2 linked regions of the Caenorhabditis elegans genome follow. The protein of the gene in region 1 interacts with the protein of each later gene in a pairwise test. Each region holds a gene or a part of one and is shown on either strand. Other genes may lie near its edges. The genes, in order: C53C7.3 and scrm-6.

Region 1 (11,859 bases):
GTGCCCAAAACAATATACAACCTCAAAAATTAAAAAAAAGGTATTTTTTTTTCTTATCAAATTTATTTAAAAATCATCATTTCTCAGTTTCAAACATACGAAAGAATTCGCGTGTTAATTTTTTTTTAAATTAAAATATGTTGAAATACAGCTACTACAACAGCTCCCGATATTTAATTTAAAACTTTCTCTTTTCAGAAAAAATTAAAAGGCTAATAATAAATCGACCAAGATTCGAACTACTTGATGTACATATTGATCACATTGCGGTGAGTCTTTATTTTGTTTTACGTACTTGCAAATCCTGTATACTTTCAGAAAGTTGATTTATAAATAACCAAAAAAAATTTAAAAACCCAAAAAAATTAATCCCATGATGTTCTACCGTCGAGAAAGCAGTGAGCCTGCCTCGTGCCAATAAAAGAGAGGTACTACCCAACCGTGACGCCAATGGTAACGACATTTACTATCAAAATTGATAGTAGCCTTAATTTAAAAATGTCAATTTAAAATTTCAGAGTGCAACGCCTCCTCGGCACCTACTTCCGGTAAAAGAGAGCCCGAAATATATTAATAAACGTTTGTTAATCACATTTTTAGTTTTCACTCAAGATTAATAAATTCCAGGATGGATTCCATCAACTGACTTTACAAGAAAGCCATGGAACATGGTCTTGGCCCTTATTGAACTATATGTGAGTGGAGATCACTTGGGAAAATTTTAAAAGCTGATATATCTAAGAAATTTCAGAAACAGTTCCTAATAACAGCAAGCACAAGTGCCTGAACAAAGATTTCAAAGAAGTAGGCTACTGACAACAATTTCCTGATAAGATGGATTCATTTACAGACTCAAAAAAATATCGCGAAAACCCCTTCGAGAATTGTCTTGAAAAACAAAGTGAGTACATATATATGAAATTTGAAAAATAGCTGTTGTAGTGTTTAATTCGATCTGTGAGAAAATAATGAAAACTAATAGTAAGCCGCCATCAGCAACTCAAGCCTGCGTATTTTTTTCTGTAATCTGTGTTTCTGAGCATCGGTTCAAAGATCTATTTCTTACTTCACAATGAAGAATGAATTACTCAAAAAATATCGATATTCACAATAAGGCCCTATCGATATTCACAATAATGCCGTCTGCGCCTTTTTTTGTTTCACCACGTGGAGTCAAAATTTCTTATTTCGATTTGATCTTCAAAAAATGCGGGAGGTGAGACGTAGACATCTCATCTGATTGGTTAAGAGCGTGCTGACGTCACAATTTTTCTGAAAAAAAAATTCCCGCATTTTTTGTAGATCAAATTGTAATGAGACAGCCTGACATCACGTCTTTCACTGTAGTTTTTACTGGTTGTTTTAATCGAAGTTAGAAGTACTTCATGAAAATTGTAGATGTTTCTCTAGTGGAAACAAACAACTGGTTTGAATATTATTTCTTTCAGAAAATTAAAAAAAATCTTGTCATACAACATTTCATTTTCCTTGGACGTCTTCCTTCTCAGACGGAAATCCTTGTTGTATAGACTCAAAATCACAAAAGAAGTAAGCCCTCATTAAAAACCTGAGCCCTAACGTAAAATATTTCAGTCTTAAGCTATCAGCGCTCTTGATGAGATCCTTGGCTCTACAATTGAAAATTTCTCACAACACAACATGAAATGGCTGATGGCACAAGAATTTAATATGACTTCGTTACTTCACTGTTGCGTTGTTTTTTTAAACCCAAAGTAATTTTTAAAAGTTTGAGCTAAAGTTTCATGACTAATATTTTCAGACAGTATAATTTCCGGCTAATGCTCCCGGCAAAACCTTGACTTCGGTCATTAAAAAAGTTTGTTTCAAGGTGTTGGAAGAGACAATGAAAGTTTAATTTTCAGAAATTGAAAAATATCGTCGCAGCCCATCGACGCAAAATTCCAAAAAGTAAACCATATAATGGGCCAAATTAGATGTAATTCACTTAGTAAGTTAAATTTAAATAATAATACTAATAATAATATACGTAGAAAAACGAGTAGTATAATATAAGTACTGAATAAAAAAAATAAGACAACATTCCAACGAGTATTTAATCTAACTGAAACAGCTTTTTTCAAACATTACTTTTATATTTCAGATGTTCTAGAATAGCAACAAAACCGCCGCCTCCCATCGACGAAAAAATCCGAAAAAAGTGAGCAATAGCCTAAAACATAAATATTTTAGGGAATCATTTTCAGATTCATTAAATCTTGTTTACAGTTTCAATAGTGGAAGCTATCCGTCAAGTTCAAAAATGCAGAATTCGTTCAAGATTTACCCATTCAAAAAAAAATGACAGCCATTTATGACGTCATAAATTGGAACAGTGGAAAAACTAGTGCATATTCTGCATCTTCAATACAACTTGGATACTCTTCCAATAGAATGGGAATAGTTAGTTGTAAGTTTCTTTTGAATGAACAATTTAAATCGAAATCCCCAAAAATGACAGACCGTATTCAATAGAACTGACAGGACTAAATTGGAATATTTTCAGAGCAAAACAAGGTCGGAATGACAAAATGCTTAGTCAATGTAGTCATCAGGCTTACAATGTGACAGAAAATATTTTAGTCATAACGAATCAGCATTAGTTTGCAATCTTAAGAGTAAAATTATGAAGAAAAATCATTTTTGGAGTTTTCTTATCATTTACAGTATTTTTCATTAACTCTCCGCTTCCACTTTACATAAAGGTTTGTAAGCCAGAATATAAACTCCTTATAAAATACTGATTTCAGTTATTCCATCTTGTAATGTACAACAATTTATTTCTTGTTTCGAACTCCAGCCATCATTAAGTGGTCTCACAACTGCCACCTGTTGTACATAATTACTTACATTTATCAGGTAAAACTTGAGATGCATTGTTTTTGATGATTTTTTTATTCAGACAATATTATGATAACCACATCAATAGCAGATGAAATGGGGTAGAATGTGATAAAGAATGAAGACTCCATGTTAGCAGTCTCCTGAATTCACCGAATCCCTTCGCACGAAGAAATGTTCCTGCTAAAATCGTTCAACGCCCTTTTGATTTTCTTTTGTTTAATTTTCAACCAAAAAATGTATTTCATTCAAAGTTGACAATAAAAAATCATAAAAACCAGTTATTGTTTCAATTTACTATCAAATCTATACATTTTTCTCACTCGTATACTAAACTTTTCGCACTACGCAAGGTGCAAAAAAGTATTTTTTGCTTTAAAATTGTTTCATTCGCTGATAAAGTAAATATCTGATCAGACAAAAAGAATTCGCAGTCAGCAGGATTCGAACCTACGCGGGCAGAGCCCATTTGATTTCGAGTCAAACTCCTTAACCACTCGGACATGACTGCATGGTTTGAGAGGGGCAGCTAGTGCAAACATAAATTTCAACAAGAGAGAAGTGAGAGAAAGAAAGGGAAGCGGCGACGAGGCGAAGTGAGACTGCCAATTTATATGTCCGGTGGAGCGAGTTTAAAAGAAGCAGTCATGTCCGAGTGGTTAAGGAGATTGACTAGAAATCAATTGGGCTCTGCCCGCGTAGGTTCGAATCCTGCTGACTGCGAAACAGTTTTTTGTTCTTTTTATTGTTTTGTTTTGCATAAAATTGATAAGAAATGTTCCTTATATGGAGTTCTTTGTAAAAATTTGAAAAGATGATGAATTTTCCAGTGTCTGCTACTTCGGTTACAAGCCTAAAAATTATATAGAATTTTCAATTAATACATTTTGACTGGCACGCGATGCCACCCACATTCCCTCATTTCTCTACTATTGCAAACTATTTTTGAGAAACTCCGTCTGTAAAATAATAAAGGTCTGATAGTGGATACGTATTCAATTGTGACCAATATTTTCTGTATCTCTTTAAGATTTGTCATGTAGTTTTTTTTTCGAAAACGATATTTTTAAGCTTAAAGTCTCGAAGTGTTTGAAATACATATAATTCATTTTTATTTGACAGTAATCAGAGTCAATGCAAATTTAAACGTATTCAGCACGTTTAGATAAAGTACACCAAAGTTTAAAACAGGCTCTATTTATAGTAAATCGTTTTTGGGTTCTATTGCAATTGCCAATATCTTGTTGGAATTTTGTTTCAAAAACGTTTCACTCGGGCATCATAGTAAAATTTCTCCAAACTGCACTTACTTATTTTTACTTATTTTTACTTATTTTGAGGATATGTACTATTGTGAAAAAAACATTCTACACGATTGGACATCACAGAGGTTTTTTTTTATAAACTAAACGAATTTAGGATATATTTTCATAAAGAACTTAAAAATTAGTCTTGACAATAGATTTACAAGAAATATAAATTATTCGTAAATGCATAGTGCCAATTATTTACATTGGTTAAAAGAAAAGCATAAAATGATAACTGACTTACTATAAGAATACAAAAATTTCCCGGTGTTCATTTGGAAAACATAAGATAAGGTGTCTTTCAGTTCAGAATTAATATATAGGTTAGTATTAAAATACTGCTAGCAATTTTGTGTTAAAGAATACGTATATCTTTTTATATACTAAATTTTAAGAACATGCTAAAATTGTAACAAAAACGAAGACATTAGCATGGCCATGTTCTAATATTAGATAAAACTCCCTCAAATTTATTATTACCTTTTCCAGGTACTCTCACACATCTATACTTTTCTTACTTCCAGCCCAGCTTTCAATTGTTTTTTCACACGAACTAGTATTTGAGTACGCTCGTATTTGTGTAATAATGACTTCTCTCTGTTTAAGCAGCGATGAGAGTCTCCCTGTGAACCAGCTCTGGCGACTTAAACAACAAGTGCGGTTTGAGGTTGACATGGAAACGTGAGCTTCGCGCCATGAATACCCACCCGACCATTAATATTATCTTACATTTTGATAATGCAGCAGGCAAAAAAGAATGAATAGGTTTTCCGGGGAGGTGCTCATTTCCTTTTTCTCGCTTTTTTTGTTGTTTTGCTTCCTACTACCAAGGTTGGTTAAAAGTTAATGTCTAAAGGACCAAATTTTAGATTTAAGCGTTGTATCTCTTTTTGAAAAGATATTTTGTAGAATTTAAAATCTTCAGGCTTTTTGTTCGAATGCCGACACAAACATTCAACAGTTGCAACTTCAAAACTTTTATTAAGACAATATTTGTGACAAATAGAAGATGTGTGTGTATTTTTGTAACAACCTTACTATAATAGCCATTCCAAACAAAACCCACCACTTATTTCACTAGCTGAAAAATTAAAAAAATAGGTTTCATGAGCATAACAATTTTTATAGCATATTTCATTATTCCTTCTTAGGCATTTTCTCTCCTTCTACTCCTTTTTCCTACAAACAATTGTAGTTTTGATTTAACACTTTCTTTTCTTTTATTATATTCACTAATCTTCTTTTTCTTTTACCTCTTCTACCCGACGAGCACTCATTTACTCGACTAATACTTTATAACTACAATCTACTCAGATGGAGCAAGACGAAAATCGAGATATGCCACCCGTCGAACAAAGGAGTGCGAATCCGGTGAGTGATCCGCTAAAAAAACACTCATGAGAGGTTATGAGTTTCAGAACGTCAATATTCAATCAATTCAACAAGAGGAAAGTGGCGGAGGCAGGAGAAATCACGACAGCGCCAGAAATCAAGAACAACTGCTAGACATTGGTGGGGATTAGATATTGCCAAATTGGCAGTTTAAAGATTAGATACCAAATTTTTTGATTAAGTGTTGTGAGATAGCATATGATTCATTCCAAAATCCTTTTATGAACAAAGCCAGTAAATTATCACATTTATATCTTCAGATGCTTCAGAAAATCCAACTGAAATGAGGTCAGCTGAGCAAGTGGATGTCCAGCAAGAACCTGCACCACCACTGGAACGCCCAGTAAGTGAGACAGTATTACCTCAACCCAAAAATACTCTGTACCCTCTGGCGTTCCCCAGGGAACTGTATCGGGTCCACTTCTTTTTATCCTGTTCATCAATGATCTACTATACTCAATCCCTCCTACCGTCCATTTCTCATGTTTTGCGGACGATATTAAATTATTTGGTCACAGCCCTTCTGAATTACAAGCAGCCATAGATTTAATTGCTAATTGGTCAAAAGATAACCAACTCCCGCTTGCCCCTGCCAAAACCGCCCTTCTTCAGTTAGGCAAAAAGAATTATAAAAATGTTTACACCGTTGACAACATCACAGTTTCCTTCACCAACTCAGTTCGCGACCTTGGTCTCTACACTGACTCCAAGTTAACGTTTCAACCTCATATAAACAGAGCCACTTCTCTTGCCCTCTTACGCGCTAAACAAATCCTCAAATGTTTCTTCTCTTCTTCCCCTAAATTCTATATAAATATGTACAAGACCTACGTTTCCCCTATCCTTGAATACGGATCAGTCATATACTCCCCTCCACCAATATCTAATTTATCAAGCACTCGAATCTCTACTCAAATACTTTTCTAAACGGGTCCTACAGTGCTGCAATATTAAATACAAAATAAAAAATGCTCCACAAACACACAATGCTTTCTCCAAATCCTACCGACTAAAAAAAACCGACTAAAAATTCTAGGAATTTCATCAGCCCGCTCTCTCCGCCTAAGAGCCCAACTATTGCTTCTATACAAAATTCTTACCGGCGCAGCGCACTTCCCAAAAAGCAGTAACTTTGTTACGCTTGCTAACTCGTCTCGTCGTCCGATGCTCATTAAAATTAAAAATCCCAAATGTCGTAGCTTTTTCTCCCAAGTAGTACCAATATGGAATAGCATTGTACGCAACTCTAGCTTTTCCTCTCCCCATCACAATTCTTTTCGCTTGTTGATTGTCAAATATCTAAATTCTGATCTCTTTTCCTCTCACTTAAACTCGCGCTCTGTCGGGCCGAGTTTATTTTAATTTATTCATCTACACGTGTAAATATCATAACCGGTTATGCGTTTCTTATCATATTCTTTTTGTTTCCATGATGAATAAATAAATAAACTGTTGAAAGCTACTTCAATATGAAACCATAGTACGATAGTTATAATTTATTTCCACACTTACGCAAGGTGCTGGATATTGGTTTGTTTTAAATTTATAAGCACGTGACATTTGGCTAAAACTTCTTTGCTACATCTAACAATTTAATACAAAATAGTTCAAACAAGCTGCTGAATTGGTCAGGGCACTGTAAGAAATCTGCAAAAAAAAGAAACGGAAAAGCTAGACTTAAAACCATTCAACAAAACCAGCAACGTGGCAATTTATTTTTTACAAAAAACAATTCGTTTCAGAAATTTTACTATTACAATTTTTTACTATTAAGAAATTTTACTATACTGAAATATTTTGTGAGAATCCATTAATATCATTATAATTTTTTAGATTCTCAATGAAATTATCCGACCAGTGCCGATTCGTCCAAACAACAACAGCTCATATCGCCAGTATGTACCAACTCCACCGCCATCACTGTCTCATATGATGCGATCGCCACCAATCAATGATGAGCCATTGCCACATCCCATTGCTCTGTCACACCAACATGGTAATATTCAATTTCAACGAGAAGATCTCGAGCTCAATGATCAATATGCTAGAAACCGACTGTTAGACCAGCTGGTTCAATTACTCTTGCGACCGCCAGAGGTTCAACACGTTATCCACCAGCACGTATTTCTTCAACCTCCACCACCACCGCCACCAGCATTTTTTGATCATCACTACCCACACTTCCCACCATATGAGCTAAACCTTCAAGATCTACAGGAAGTTGAAGTGGTCCCAGAAGATCCAGTTTGAAGATTTTGTGAGACACGACTTGTATGAGCGATAATTATTTCTGATACTTGTGAATTATAACCCCACATTACATACATTGTGAAACGTCTGATTTTTGAATCAAAACGTGAGGTTTATTTTCAAATTTTCATGCATATAAAAATACCGCCCTTATTTTTAAGCCTAAAGAACATCTGCACATCACGTTTAATTGAAAGCAACAAATAAATGAAACCTTAATTAATTTTTAAAATGTGGGGTTATAATAAACAGGTGTTCTATTTTCTTCGATTTTCCCGACCAAATTAATGTTTTATACTTAAATGTAACTAGAAATAGTCATAAAATCCTCTCCCTATTGAATACGTAGTCTCATTGTTCCAATTTCTTTTTACAACCTCCATCAACCGCACCTGTAAATCCAAATCGATATTTGTGTGCTAATTGGCTGTAACTGTTTACTCCAAACAGCAGGTGCGCTATTCTGCAAGCGTTTCCCATATCTATCTTAAAATCGATCAATAGTTCATCTTCCCTCCCCTGACTACACTCATTCTGTCCATTTGTCCACTCAATCATTCTTTTTATTTTCGATTTTTCTCTTGTCCGCTCTTTAATTGTTTCACAAAAATTTCAATTGTGATTTTTCTCTGTTGATTTCTTTCGGTTTGCAATTTTATTTCTAGTATGTCCAATGTACCACTGAATCAAAACACTATCCTCATTCCACCCAGAAAACGTTATCACTAATTGTTAATAACTACATTATCTCAGTAGGAATAAAAACTCGTTTATTCTCAATAAACCTTGGCACACACGATTGCAGCACTATGTATTCACTTTTCAGTTTTACTTCAACTTGCATGCAACAAAGCTGAGAAGTGCACGACTCGAAGCGTGGCTCTTCAACTCAAAAAAAAGAGCTGATAATATGGATCTACATCAGCATCTTCCATCTTATCAAGAAGCAGATGGCGGTGCCCATGGCAAAGAAACAACCAGCCATATCATCTGTAAGAAATCATTTTTATTAGGGAAGGGGCGATGCAAATATATTGAGCAAAAAGGAGAGGTATCTAGACAGAGGTCATAAATGGGGATATGGGAAAATATGACTGTCTCACTTTATGACACGGCAGAAAAACATTGAATGTGCAAATACCAAATCAACATTAGAAAATTTTAGAAAGTAGGCTCATGGCCTCGCCACGCTCTTCAAAAATCAATGGATTGCGCGTGACGAGACCATTTCGCATAAATTCGTCCTCCTTCAAAATCGTAGAAGTAAAAAAAAGTACACTGTAGGTATATACTCATCCAAATTAGTTTAATGACAACTGAATTGCAATTGGTGTAAAACTGACAAATAATTTTTTTTTTGTTGAAAATGAAAATTTTGAGCTATCGCAGTTTGGAAACTGGAATCAAAAAACACTGGTGTATTATGAATAAACAAGAAAAATAGTGCCATTAAAAAAGGAAAAACTTTAAATCTAAATGGTGTATTTTTGAAAACAGATAGTATTCAGGGTATCTCAATGAAATATTTTATCCATATCACTTCAAGTTTTGTCAGTAATTCAATGAAACTTTTTCAGATAATACAAGTCAGGAGTATCATCAGATTAACCATCAACAATTTGATCAAAATAATCTTGGAGAGTTACCAATCTATTTGAACTACCCACTCCACGGACCAAATCATAAAAAATGGCACCTGGATTTTCAACAGAACAATGATGCGAACGAATACTCACAAAATGGGAATCATGATTTCTCAGGGGCTGAGATGAGTTATCCAATTGAGGATTTTGCCCAGAATACCTTTGCTGAACAGTATGTTGAAGGTGAGTCTATTGATATCCTTGCTTAAGCTAATAGCCACCATGGCAAATAGTAAATGAAGTGCTGTCTTTAATTTTTGTCAACTATCTTAAGGCAATTATTTTTAGATTCTTATCAAAATGCAGGGGCATTGGCGCTTACTGGTCAGAATATGAATATTTCAAATGTACATAACGGAGTTCATATTTCAACGCCAACGGAAAATTTGGCTGAGAACAATGCCAATAACGGGCTTGACGCGATTGGTGAGTTTTTAAATACTCAATTTCTGTTCCTATTCATATGAATATAACATAACATGCTTTCTCATTATTTTTTAACTAGGTTGTTTCGTTTTCAGCTGATCTCGTGAAACCTTATCAAAATGTTCAACTGGAAAGTTCATCGAAACAAAAAGTACAGCGACCAAGTAAGAATAAACCACTTGTATGTTTAAAACAAAACTTTAATTTTTGATTTTTCAGAAATTGCCCACAAAAACTCTTGTGCTCACGGTTACAAATATGCTGTTGCCTATCAAATCTTGAAAGACAATGTTGGATACGAAATACCAGTGGATACGGTCAAATTGTGCAGGGAAAACCACATCGACACAAAAGTGTTGAACATGGTTGTCCGTCGATTGGAGGAGCTAGGTGCTATCGAGAGACCATTGAACCTTCATGTTAGATTTACACCGTAAGTGTTTATTCAAATGTAAAAGTCATGATTGTTGCATTTTAAAGAGAGTTCAAATTCAAAGAAATCGATGAGTTTCAATCAACACATATAGAAATTGAAAAGTTGGATCAAGAAGAAAAAGAGCTTGACGAAATGTTGGAAATTGCACAAAAACAGTTGGCGGAAGTCAAACGCAATCCATATGCATTTTTCACAAGTGCAGATATCAATCTTCGTGGTAATGAAGTGTTGATAGCAAAAGCTCATGATGTCACTGTAGATTGTATGACAGGAATGAATAGGGTTGTCACTAATATGGATGCTGTTAAAATTGATAAGATGAACTATTTGAATAACCGATTCCCCAAAGAAGGTTAGTCAGTTTGTCTTACTATAAACCAAATTTATATTGAATTCATTTTAGCTCTCACCAAGATTGATAACAAAAAATACAAAGCAGCTGCAAAAATAATCGATAAAAATATCGGACAAGACAAAGTTCAATTGAAACAAAAGAGCAAAGATGAAGCTGTAATGAAAATTCTTCGTCAATTTTCCGGAACTAATGAAGCTAGCGATCCCTCCGATGAACGTCCAGTGCATCAAGCTCTTGGCATCAATAAGAAAATGGCACATCAAACTACGCAAAACAGTCAATTAAGAATCACAACATCGGGTAATGAATTAAAAGTGTCAATTGGAAAAAAGTTTGATGAAGCTCAAATAAATAAACTCCAAACCGAGAAAGAATTGAAGAAGAATGCCCAAAAACAAGCAAATGCGGCAAAAATGAGAGAGAAACGAGCAAAAGCGAAAGAAGAACAAGAAGGTCAGTTAAAAAAGAAAATAAATTAGGTGAAATTATTAAAATTACCCACTTGAAATTATGTTTTTGGGAGTAAATTAACATTGTTTCCAAACACCTAAATCATACAGAATGCTCTTTTTTAAGCCAACTGTTTTTTTTTAGGAAGTAGAGCTAGGAAACGTAAAAACACAGACGAACCGACTCTGCCTATCAAACGTCAGGACAGTATTGATTCTGAATGTGCACTTGGACAACTAGATCCATACAACAACCGAATCATGTTCTCAGAAATGTCATCACCAGTTGGATGTTATAATCCAGATCTTGTTCCGGATATAGAACGACTTCGACAAGTTTCTGATGCAATTTCTGATGATCAAGTATGCAATCAAATTTTCAATGAGCCGCAGCATGGATTGAGTAAGTTAAAAACTGCTTTTACATATCTAAAAATCAAATTTCAGGCTTGAGTTCGCAATATTTTGAGGGCACACGTAGTGATGAGCCAAACTCAGTTCTTAATGAGGGCCTCAACTTCGATATTCCGCAGGAAAATTTGAGAATGCTATCTCCAAGACGCGAAAACTTTGGCATGCTTCGTGGAAGAGAGATATCAGAAGAAAATCATACTCTGAATTGCTTCAACTCTCAAACTTTTGATGATGATATTATGGATTTTAATTTTCATTCGATGCAAAATCTACCCAGCACTTCTGAAATGCAATTCAAAAGTTCTGATGACAACTTTGACGGAAGTTT
Region 2 (11,859 bases), on another chromosome or scaffold:
GCTTAATTTTCACCTGATATTTAAACAAAATTGTTTTTTTAATTTTCGAAAAAAATTTGAAAACTTTTTTTTTATTTCGCTAAAACTTTTCTCAGCTTTAACATATTTTTCATACAATTTTTTTCTAAACTGTGTAAACGTTCAATTTGACACTGATCTTTGTAGCTGCTGCTAGTTTAAACGCGCCCACTCGCCCAGCGACTGCACTTGGGGACATTTCCTTAAATTATCGGAGATTTGGGATTTGGATAAGCGGAAGCTGGAAATTTGAGAAATTCATGACTTTAAAAAATTGATCAAAAATCATTTTTCTCCTTCTTACAATAAATATTATAGAATTTTTTAAAAAAAATTTTTTCCAAAAATTTCAAAATATATTTTTTCAAAAACCAAAATTTTTCATGAATTTTAGTTATTAAATCTGAGTTGAGCTCACCGAGAGCTTTTATTTAAGTATAATCATGACTAGGTTCCGACCACTTTGGGTCCCGCCACGAAAACTACAATAACCCGGTTTGCGTGGTGGTACCCAAAAAACTATAGAACTAGCGGGAATCAGTTAAACTCGCATGCGTAGTGTTAAATAGTATTAAATTCGAGTTTAGCTCACCATGAGCTTTTATTTAAGTATAATCATGACTAGGTTCCAATTATTGTGGGTCCCAGCACGAAAACTACAGTACCGCGAGGTTTCGTGGCGAGACCCAAACTAGTCGGAACCAGGCCATGATTATACTTATTTGAAAGCTCTCGGGGAGATAAATTCAATGAAAATAGCATTGAATTCCGGAAGTCATTCATTTTTTCGAAAAATTAGAAAATATCCGAACAAATCCAAAAAAAAAAAAACTCAAAATTTTTTATAAAATAAACGTCACAAACATCAGTTTCAACACTTTCCAGACAAAAAAACCCGTTTTCCCCCAGGAAACACTCACCTTTCCCCAAATTTTGCCGCTGGCAAAAGATCCAAATCGGCGATAGTAATTTGTAAAAATTCGGCGCCCGATGTATAAAAATCGGGGGTTTCATTGTTTTGGCAATCTCCCTTGAGATGATGTATGTACCTTTGCAACCGGAAAACAGTCCACCAGCTTCTTCTACCTGCAGAAAATTGAAATATTTTTGGCTTTTTCTGGGATTTTTTGCATTTTTTGGAGCCTACTTTTATTTCTACGGAGATATTAAATATTCTATTGTTGTTGATGAGAAAATTGTTAATTTTACTGGAGGTAGGTTTGATTTATAAGAATTTTATGGAAATTTTCAAAAAATCGATAACTTTTAAATTTCAGTTGAGGACTTCATTCCGCCATTCGTCGATTTTGATCATGGATTCTTTGTAAGTGAGATTCTTCGAAAACTTCTGATTTTTTGGGCTTGCAATTATTAAATTCTTATTTAACTCAACCAGAGCTTTCATTTAAGTATAATGATGACTAGGCTCCGCCCAGTTTGGGTCTCGCCACGAAAACTACAGTACTCCCAGTTTTCGTTTCGGGACACAGTTGATAGCAAAGTGATTTGTTTTTCAAAATTTTGTTTCCAAAGTTGAGTTTAGCTAACCGAAAGCTTCAATTTAAGTATAATCATGACTAGGCTCCGTGCAGTTTGGGTCCCACCACGAATACTACAGTACCCCCGTTTTCGTGGTGAGACCCAAAATAATCGGAACCTAGTCTCTATGGGTGTCATTTGAAAGCTCTAGGTGTGCTGATCTCGAATTTGACAGTTTGAAAATGATTTTTTGCGTTAAAAGTTTAGATTTTTAGCTTTTTAAAAATTTTCCAAAAATTTCAGGTGGCCCCTGACAAAAAGCTTCTGGGATGTGGAATTCCGAAATCTATGAGTCAATTAATGTCTAATATAATGTGCTTTTTATACGATGAAAATCAATATTTGGCTCAGCATAACAGTCTGAATGACACTTGGACTACGGAGAGGTTAGTTTGACAGGGTACTGTAGGTGGGCGGAGTCCAAATTGGAGGACTTTTATTGAAATTAAATGGTAAATTCGGAAAGAGCTCATTAAGAGCTTTTATTTACGTATAGTCATGACTAGGTTTAGGCTATTTTGGTTATTTAGGTCCCACCACGAACTGTAGTTTTCTACTGTAGTTTTCGTGGCGGGGCCCAAAGTAGTCGGAACCTAGTCATGATTATACTTAATTCAAAGCTCTCAGTGAGCTTAATCCAATGATCAATTTGAGCACGGTTAATAATTTTCCAAAATTTCAGAAAATGTCCTATAAAATTGTTTTCGGAGTGAAAATTTTCAGCCAAAAATTTCCTAAAAAATTCTTGAAAATGCGGCAAATTGCTTATATAACTGTTATGCAACATCACAACAAGAATAAATTCCAGAAAATGTCTTGAAGAGGACCAATTCCTAAATCCTACCTTTGAACTGCTAAATGATCCAGATTTGGTCCGATTCGCTTTTATTCGAGATCCAATTCATCGATTCATTTCTTTATACCTGGATAAATGTATTTAGTAAGTTAAAATTCCGTTTTCTTGCAAAATTAGATTTTTATAGTACTAAATCTTGCTACAATTGCGGTACAAACATGGCATGCTTTGTTCAGCGGATATATGAGACATTAAACCGGATAAAAAGCAATCGGAGGAGACTACATGAAGCCAGCTCGATTGAGCAGCATGTTGCTCCGTTGTCATGGTAAGTTTAAAATACTAAAAATTTGATCTAAAGTAGATTTTAAATGAAGTCTCTAGCACGTCTGGGAGCTGAGATATGGGGGGTTTGAAGTTTGGAAAGAAGGGGGTGAGAGCGCAGACGACGAGACACTCTGCCTGTCTGCGTCTCTCTTGATGTCGCCGAGAAGAAGGAGGAGACGCAGAGAAGCAGAGTGTCTCGTCGTCTGCGCTCTCCCCCCTGCCCTAAACTTTAAACCCCCACAACTCAGCTCCCAGAAGAGCTAGAGACGTAATTTTTCCACCAACCTGGCCCTATTTAGGTACTGTAACTTTAACGAGAATATCAAAAAGTATTCCCTACTAATGATGGGTGCGGATCTTGAAGAAAGAAGATCCTCGATTCTACATTTGGCAAATATACTAAAACGACAAGGATTCAGTGAGAAAACTGTGGAAAAGATACAGAATGACGCGTTGGGTAGGTTTTTTTTGGGGTTACTGTAGCTTTCGTGGTGGGACCCAAAGTTAATGAAACCTAGTCGTAATTATACTTGAAAGAAAGCTCCTAGTTAGTTCAATTTTATCGAGTTTTACTACAGTACCCCCCGTTTTTTTCCGGCGGTCCCAAATTTTTTGAAAAGTTTTTTTTTTAATTTTGTTAACATTGTTTAATTCGAACTCAGCTCAACGAGAGCTTTCATTTAAGTATAATCATGACTAGGTTCCGATTAATTTGGGTCCCACCACGAAAACTACAGTACCCGGCTGTCGTGGCGAGACCCAAAGTGGTCCGAACCTAGTCGTGATTATACTTAAATAAAAGCTCTTGGTGCCTTGAACTTGAATCCGTAAATATTTTCCCAAAATAATTATTTTTCAGGCGGAGAAACCGCCCATTCCACACACAAGTCGTCTCATCGACTTGAAGCAGAACGCCAAGTACGCGAAGACCCAGTAATTCGAGATTTACTCCACAAAATATATTTCTTTGATTATGTAGTGTTCCCGTTCAAGAGGGACCAATTGGACACCAAGTATCAAACCGATTTCTGGAAAACTCCTAATTTTTAAAATAATAAAGCTTTAAATTTCAGATTTTTACTACTTCAAATAATTGTTTGTGTAGGAATTTTGTTGATTTTTGATCTATACATGCAATTCACTAAATTCATTCAATATAATCTAAAAAAATCCGGATTCCGTGTCCCAGGCCTGTCTAGAGGCATGTCCCTCATTCCAAAAATTAGATTTTTTTTTCATTTTTAGATAACGCGCCTTTTCCGTCTAATAGTCCTGTACTTACGATTAAAAAACAATTGTATGGAATTTTCAGCGAAAAATGGTGGAAAAAACCTTCGGCTAAGCCTAAACCTAAGCCTACGCCTAAGCCTAAGCCTAAACTCAAGCCTAAGCCTAAGCCTAAGCCTTAGTCTTAGCCTTAGCCAAAGCCTAAGCTTAAGCCTAAGCCTATGCTTAAGCCTAAGCCCAGGGCTAAGCCTAAGCCTAAGTGTTTGCCTAAGCCTAAGCCTAAGCCTAAAAGTAAGCCTAACTTCTTTGAAAAATCGGTTTTACATAACATCTCAAAACGAAAAAAACTCAAATTTGAACTTTTCCGAAATATTTTTTCGGCGATAATTGTGTGGGTCGCCACCAAAACTACCGTATTCTCAATTTTCGTGGCGAGATCCTTAACTGAGCACAAAATGGTTTTCTTTGAGTAAACTTTAAAAAAGAGCTCTAATAGTATCCATAGCCACCATGTCCATATCCTCCACGTTGGTTGCCTCCGCGATTCTCGAAGAATGTGTAGTCGATGAGGAAGGTCGAGGAGATAAGCAGGATCTTGAGGATTGGTGGAAGATCCGGTGGGACTGAAAGACTATTTTACATGAGGAGAAGGCCTACACTCGGCCTATTTTGCAGGCCTATTAGTGATGCAACTCACAATGCACAATGTAGGTGTCCGCATCGGTGTACCACTCCTGCATGAACCCTGGGTAGAGACGAACAATTTCTCCGATTTTTGCGCCGTTGTAGGTCATGACCGGGAAGACTTGCGTGCCACCACAGCATGCACATCCTGGAGAACGGACCAGAAGCGGCTCGTTGCTCCCAGTGCCCACGAGATGGAACTGAAAATAATTTAATGTGAATGGTATTCTAATCTGCGAAACTAGTTTCGGACATGGTGCATCGACTATCATAGGCTAGGCTTACAGCTCTCTGTTGACTTAAATTTTATCAAAAGTTATCAATTATCAAAATACTAGGTACTAATTTTACTACACTTCTGTAGTTGAGAGCTTTTTGATATCTAGAAAAAGAGCCGAGATATGAGCTTCAACGCTAGTTTGGGACATGGTGCATCGACTCGTGGTGTCAAAGTTTCTCATTTCGGCTTGATCTACGTAGATCTACAAAAAATGCGGGAGTTGAGGTGCAGAGTTCTCAACTGAAATTGCATGGGCAAAAATTACCCCGCATTTTTTGTAGATCAAACCGTGATGCATCGACATACTTACATTATCATCACAACACTCTCTCTTCATCATTCCAATCCTCTGGCCCAAGAACTCAGTTGCCAGGAAGTCATCACAAGAGCAGCATGGCCGACTTCTGAAGCAATTCATCACAGGAGCCCCGAAAATATCCATGCACTGCATAGCAAAGTTGCGTTGGGATCCTTGATGTTGGCGAGCAAAGAAACTGGATCTCTCCATACAATAGAGCAGCGGACGGCAATACATATCGTGGACCACGTAGCGATTGGGGGTCTCAATTCCGGTGAAGATCTCGAGTGGTTCAAGGCATTGGACGATCATGAGGGAGGTGGTTTGAGCCAGGACGTCTAGTATGGTGTGAGGGGCGAGGTCCACGAATCCCTTGAATAATGTTGGTTTAGATTGCGGATTTTGAATTTCCCGCCAAAATATTTTTTTCTGAAAAGTCAAATTTCCCGCCAAAAAAATGCTCCAAAAATTTGATTTTCCCGCCAAACAAATTTCTCGCTAACATTTCTCACGATGGGTCCCGCCACGAATGGTAAAAAAAACGATGACGTCACACGGCAGGCCCCGCCCACAAACGGTGACGTCATATGTCCCAGTTTTTGGGTATGACGTCACAGAAAACCTAACAGACCAGAAATATAGTACACGAGCTTCTGACCTCCCTCGTAGCGTTTTTTGCGCTCCATCGACAATCGCCACGGACTACATGTGGGAAAATACGTGTATTCCACATCAAAGAACGCAACGAATGCAAATACGCAACGCGACACGCAACGCCACACGCAACGTGACACGCAACGCGACACGCAACGCGACACGCAACGCCACACGCAACGTGACACGCAACGCGACATGCAACGCGACACGCAACGCCACACGCAACGCGACACGCAACGCGACATGCAACGCGACACGCAACGCCACACGCAACGCGACACGCAACGCCACACGCAACGTGACACGCAACGCGACATGCAACGCGACACGCAACGCCACACGCAACGCGACACGCAACGCGACATGCAACGCGACACGCAACGCCACACGCAACGCGACACGCAACGCCACACGCAACGCGACATGCATCGCGACACGCAACGCGACACGCAACGCCACACGCAACGCGACACGCAACGCGGCACGCAACGCGACACGCAACGCGACACGCAACGCCACACGCAACGCTACACGCAACGCGACATGCAACGCGACACGCAACGCCACACGCAACGCGGCACGCAACGCGACACGCAACGCCACACGCAACGCGACACGCAACGCGACACGCAACGCGACACACAACGCGACACGCAACGCGACATGCAACGCGACACGCAACGCGACACGCAACGCGACATGCAACGCGACACGCAACGCGACACGCAACGCGACACACAAAGCGACACACAACGCAACACGCAACGCCACACGCAACGCCACACGCAACGCGACACGCAACGCCACACGCAACGCGACACGCAACGCGACACGCAACGCGACATGCAACGCGACACGCAACGCGGCACGCACTGCGTCCTAAATCTCCAATCGTCAGTAACTCACCGTCATCTGAATCGGCATCGCTGCGATCATATTCGGCACCTCCATTGGAGTATCCCGTGGCTGTGGAAGTCTCCCGCCGCCACGCATCATTCCAGCTTCCGCTCGGCTCCTCGGCGGCTCATCCTTCTGCCGCTCCTTTTCGGATTTCCCAGTTGAAGTCGCACAGCTGACTGGTTGCTCTCCGGGTTGTTTATTCATTTTTATTGGTTTCTGGAAAATTTGGAAGGTTTTGGGGTCCCAGAAGAAAGCGATAGAAAACTCACATTCGATGACGATGAACAATAGTAGGAATGGCTGATTATGCTGGGAGAAGATATTACGTGGGGGGGGGGGGGGGGGGTCACGTTTTGCAAAATTGAATTTTCATTCAGATTACAAAGCATTTTTTTTTTAAATAAAAATCAACTACTTCTTGGGATATAGGGGAAAAATCTAAGCACTTGTGCCCAAAAAAACAGAATCAACTTCTGAAAAAAAGTGAGCTTGTAATTACAGAAAAGCTATAAAACTGTGGAGAAAAAAACGAGTTTATTCTAGTCTGCGAGTAAAATGGGCTCATAAAAAGTTCAAAAGCTGCTATGCATTCCGCCATGCATCCCATGATGATGATGACGATCCTGGTTACGATCCTCGAAGTATGTGAAATCGATCAGGAAAACCGAAGTGACAAGCAGAAGCTTCAAGATTGGCGGCATGTCCATTGGAACTGAAATATTCCAAAATTCAGATTAAAAACTTCGATTTAAATGCTTACAGTGAACAATGTAAGTGTCCGCATCGGTGAACATCTCCTGCATGAATCCAGGGTAGAGGCGGACAATTTACGATTGTTTCCGTGGTACTGACGGGCAAAGACGTTTGATCTCTCCATACAATAGAGCAGAGGACGGCAGTACATGTCGTGGACCACGTAGCGATTCGGGGTTTCGAATCCGGTGAAGATCTCGAGTGGTTCGATGCATTGGACAACCATCAGGGAGTTGGTATGGGCGATTGCGCTGAGGATGTTGTTGGTGGCAAGTTGGACGAAGCCCTGGAAAGTCAAAATTTAGAGCGGTCACCATTAGCTAGACTCTTTGGCTTACAGTCATCTGAACCGGCATCGCTGCCACCTGGTTCGGAATGACCATTGGCGTGGATCTTGCCGCTGGGAGTCTCTTTCCACCACCTCCACCTCTTCCGAATCCTGCAGCCTTGGCATGTGGCTCGCCTTTCTTCGAATCGTCCTCCGGCTCGACCTCCTCAAGTGATTTGGCCGCAGACGTCAAGCTAAGCGATCTCAATGGTTGCTGTCCCGGTTGTTTTTTCATTTTCTGGAAAATTTAGCCGGTTTTTGAGGAAACTGAAAGTAATAAGAAAACTCACATATCAGAGTGCTGTCCACAATTCGAAAATGAATGAATTTCGATCGAAGGAAGGAATTGATTTTATTTGTGGTTTTGAAAATTGATTACGTGGTGAAAGGCAGAAAGGGCAGAAAGTTTATGTTCACGTTTAAAATTGTGTTATTTATTTATTTATTTATTCAGCCCGTGGATCCAAAAAAAAAATTTTAATTTCTTCCGAAACCTTCTCAAATTCACCACCGACCTGAATTTGCATCACAGAACAAAAACTAATAGATTTTCAATAGTTAAGCAGCTAAACTATATATTCGTTTCGTAGATCTTTACAGCATGAAACCCGACAACAGTACCTCCTGGCAATCAGCACAACAGATATGGAACTGGAAACCAGTACTTGCACAAGCAGTGATAATTTGTCAAGCGTTTGCTGAGTTTCAATGTTATCAACTAGGAGCATACGTAAATTCTTCCATGCAGGATGGTGTTGCAGAATTTTAATTTTTGCAAAATTATTGTGAAACAAATTTTATCAAACTCCCAGATAAGTAAGCTAATGAAATGTTCAAATATTTATTCAAATGAATTGCAAAACTTGGTATTTAGTCAGCATATGGTGACCAGTAGTCGAGATACCTGAAAGAAGTTATTTTTCCGATAAGCTAGCACTAACATTATATTACATGTAAGTGTATGCTCTAATCTGCATTTTGAATGGGGTATTGTCCGAGTATGAGTATTCCAAAGTCATATTGTAGATAGCAGCATTAAGAATATCACCACCTGTTCGAATTGTGCCATTTTTCTGAAATAGCTATTGTATTATTGAAACAGTTTCTAATCATGAGGTTATTACTCTCAAAAGTAGTATCCTCGAAATAAAAATTAGTTATCTAAAATTAGTGCGAGCAGTCTCCAGTTATCATAATATTGTAAGAAGCGGTATAGTATTAATACTTGGAAGAATTTCACCTCATAGTACTGGGATTCTGGATAACCATAGAAACCGCCATTAGAAGTTGAAGAAGCATTGTACTAAGAGAGGTGAAATGATTTGAATGTATCAATAGGGCCTAAATTTGTAATGCTAATATGTGATGATAAACAGCTCAGAATTTCTACCATGGTTCTGTACAGTAACTGCAAAGGCAGCTCCCTCGCGTTGAGTGTGGAATAGTGGAGGCAGTACAATAGAACCTTTTCCAGACACTACAGGGTTTACCGCGTAAAAAGCTATAGGTCGATTTAAGCCGTAAAAATCAATTGCAGACTGAAATAAATTAGTAGTGGAAAACGCTCTCTGAAACCTCACATTGTAGAATTGATCATCATTTCGAAAATCAGTCAGTCCATTTGTTTTAGATGAGAGGTCATAGAGGGTAAGTGGTTGGGATCCATCTGATGGAGTATTTGATGCAATTACATGAACTATTCCATGATGAGATCGAATTTTGGCTACTTGATTGGTAATTTCCACTTCATTTGGGTTTCGTTTCGAGAGAATCACAACTACAGATCCACAAACAGAGAATAGAGATTTGTCGTAAAAATTCTGAAATTGAAAAAAAAAATTTTTTCTATGTTTATTGAAGGCTAGGTTTGAATGCTTGAATGCGAAGTTACCAATTTTTTCTACGACGAATTACGGCGCTGCAGCAGCGCCTCCGCCGGAATCTTTTCTATGCTTTACCTCAACAATTTTCAACGAGTCACTACCAATTGAACTGCTGCCAAAACCAATTGTCTGAAAATTTCGAACAAAAACATCCCAACACATGTATAAACACTTACTGGTAATCATAACTGTAGTATATTTCTGCAGATTGGCTAGTGTCAAATTAAACGTTTGCAAATTTTGTTACATAGTAGTCCAAGTTTCCAAACAGGGTACTGGCCGATTCCGAAACAACACTGGCCTCCAAATCAATTGAATACGCAAATAAAAGTGTCTTCAGGTCAGTTGGTAGGCACTCAAGGGTTTCTGAAATATATAACTTAAACAATATAAACCTAAAGTCTTCCTGGAATATCTGTAAAATTATTTTAAATTTAAATTTTAGCTTCATATTTAATTTTAGAACTGGTTGAGTGCAACTGATTCTGTCTGAAAATGGGACTGCAAGGGAATTGAATAATATAAGAGTGGAGGAGCATTTCGAAGAAATGCAATGTCTTATCAAATAGGTACTTAGACTTTATAGCAATGTGATGCTTATGAAATAATACAAGAGACGGAAAAAAGGAAGTAAGGCGATGAAAATGTTTTATGTATTTCGGAACTGATAAGAAGTTGTTAAAATAATTCTTCGTATGCATGTATTTATTTATTGAAGTAAGTCGAATAGCGAAAGTTGATAATCAGTCAGCATATGGCGTCCAATAGTCAGTATCGCTGGAAATGTTATTTTTCAGATAAACTCTCTCAAATTGTATCTTACATCATCACGTATTGTCTAATCTGCATTTTGAATGGCGTATTGTCCGAGTATGAATATTCAAGGGTCATGTTGTAAATAGCCGCATCAAGAGTCAACCAATCATACTCAATCGTGCCATTTCTCTGAAATAATTTACTTTAAAAAAAAATTTTATTGTACGCAGTGGACTAACAAAAAAACCTAATAAAAATGGGAAGAAGGGATTGTATAAAATATTTATGAAAAAACAAAAAAAAGTATTAAAATGTGAGCGGCCTAGCATTTTGCCAGTTAAATTTTAAATGGGTCTCGTCGATTTTTCTGACAAAAATGTTGAATTTTAACGGATGTTCCCGTTTTTCTTTTGTTATGTATGTATATTCGTAAAGGTGGGGGCAGATAGCTCAGTCGGTAGTGGTGGCCGCTAGCAGTCTGGAGGTCACGAGTTCAAGTCCGGCCTCACCCCCTAGGTTCACCCAGCCTCTATTGGGAAGTGGAGCAATCCACGACTGGATTATCGGCCACAGTCCCCGGCTAGGACGTAGCTTAAATTACAGCCCAGAGGGATCACCACCAGGCAGTGTACCTGAATCCCAGATCCGCAGTGCATAGCACTTGAAGAACGGATCGTCCTTTAATCCTTTTTTTTTTAATTTTTTACATCTTCTTCGAAAAAAAACTGTACCAGATAATCTAGACCATAACCACCATTGGTAGACGATGAAGCGTTGTACCAGAAGAGGTCAAATGATTGGAGTGCATCAATTGTTCCTTAATTTATGCTTATAAAAAGATACGTTAAGAATGTATACCATGATTTTGAACAGTAACTGTGAGCTTGGCTTGGCTGCGATGAGCTTGGTATAGTGGAGGCAGTACAGTGGAGCCATTGCCGGATACTAATGGATTCACCGCGTAATTAACTATGGGATAGTTCAGCCCAGCAAAGGGTATGACAGACTGAAAAGAGTTTTGGATTGTTTTAATTTGAAAATAATCCATAAAAAGTCTCACCTCGTCAAATTCATCATCAATCCGGAAATCGGCTAGCCCATTTGTTTTTGATGAGAGGTCATAGAGGGTAAGTGGTTGGGATCCACCTGATGGAGTATTTGATGCAATTACATGAACCATTCCATGGTGAGATCGAACTTTAGCTATTAGTTTAGAAATATCATTCTCATCTGGGTTTCGCTTTGATAGTATTAGAACAATGGATCCGCAAGTGGAAAACTGAGTGCTATTGTAAAATTTCTGAACTTTTTTATATGTTTAATGTTATGTTCTGATCTATATCACATACCTCAACAATGTTCAACGAGTCACTACCAATTGAACTACTTCCGAATCCTAGGGAAGGATCGGGA

The links.
Region 2: the proteins of C53C7.3 (region 1) and scrm-6 interact in a two-hybrid assay, tested with the Caenorhabditis elegans proteins (one large-scale study listed by BioGRID).

The regions. Positions count from the first base shown.
Region 1 is NC_003284.9:13,043,078-13,054,936, forward strand, and holds C53C7.3 (uncharacterized protein), read left to right. Parts: upstream 1-5,480; coding exon 5,481-5,537; intron 5,538-5,584; coding exon 5,585-5,678; intron 5,679-5,827; coding exon 5,828-5,901; intron 5,902-7,391; coding exon 7,392-7,808; downstream 7,809-11,859. Other genes in the region: K03A11.1 (TBPIP domain-containing protein), read left to right, coding at 8,719-8,800, 9,386-9,634, 9,740-9,877, 9,973-10,041, 10,097-10,310, 10,358-10,665, 10,717-11,121, 11,263-11,520 and 1 more.
Region 2 is NC_003279.8:11,248,421-11,260,279, reverse strand, and holds scrm-6 (Phospholipid scramblase), read right to left. Parts: upstream 7,025-11,859; 5' UTR 6,996-7,024; intron 6,943-6,995; 5' UTR 6,931-6,942; coding exon 6,733-6,930; intron 5,542-6,732; coding exon 5,182-5,541; intron 4,792-5,181; coding exon 4,605-4,791; intron 4,531-4,604; coding exon 4,397-4,530; 3' UTR 4,353-4,396; downstream 1-4,352. Other genes in the region: F36D1.8 (Carbohydrate sulfotransferase), read left to right, coding at 1,055-1,232, 1,296-1,342, 1,801-1,943, 2,366-2,497, 2,541-2,681, 2,980-3,137, 3,540-3,730; F46A8.11 (DUF7154 domain-containing protein), read right to left, coding at 10,434-10,467, 10,514-10,635, 11,178-11,263, 11,305-11,452, 11,507-11,746, 11,796-11,859.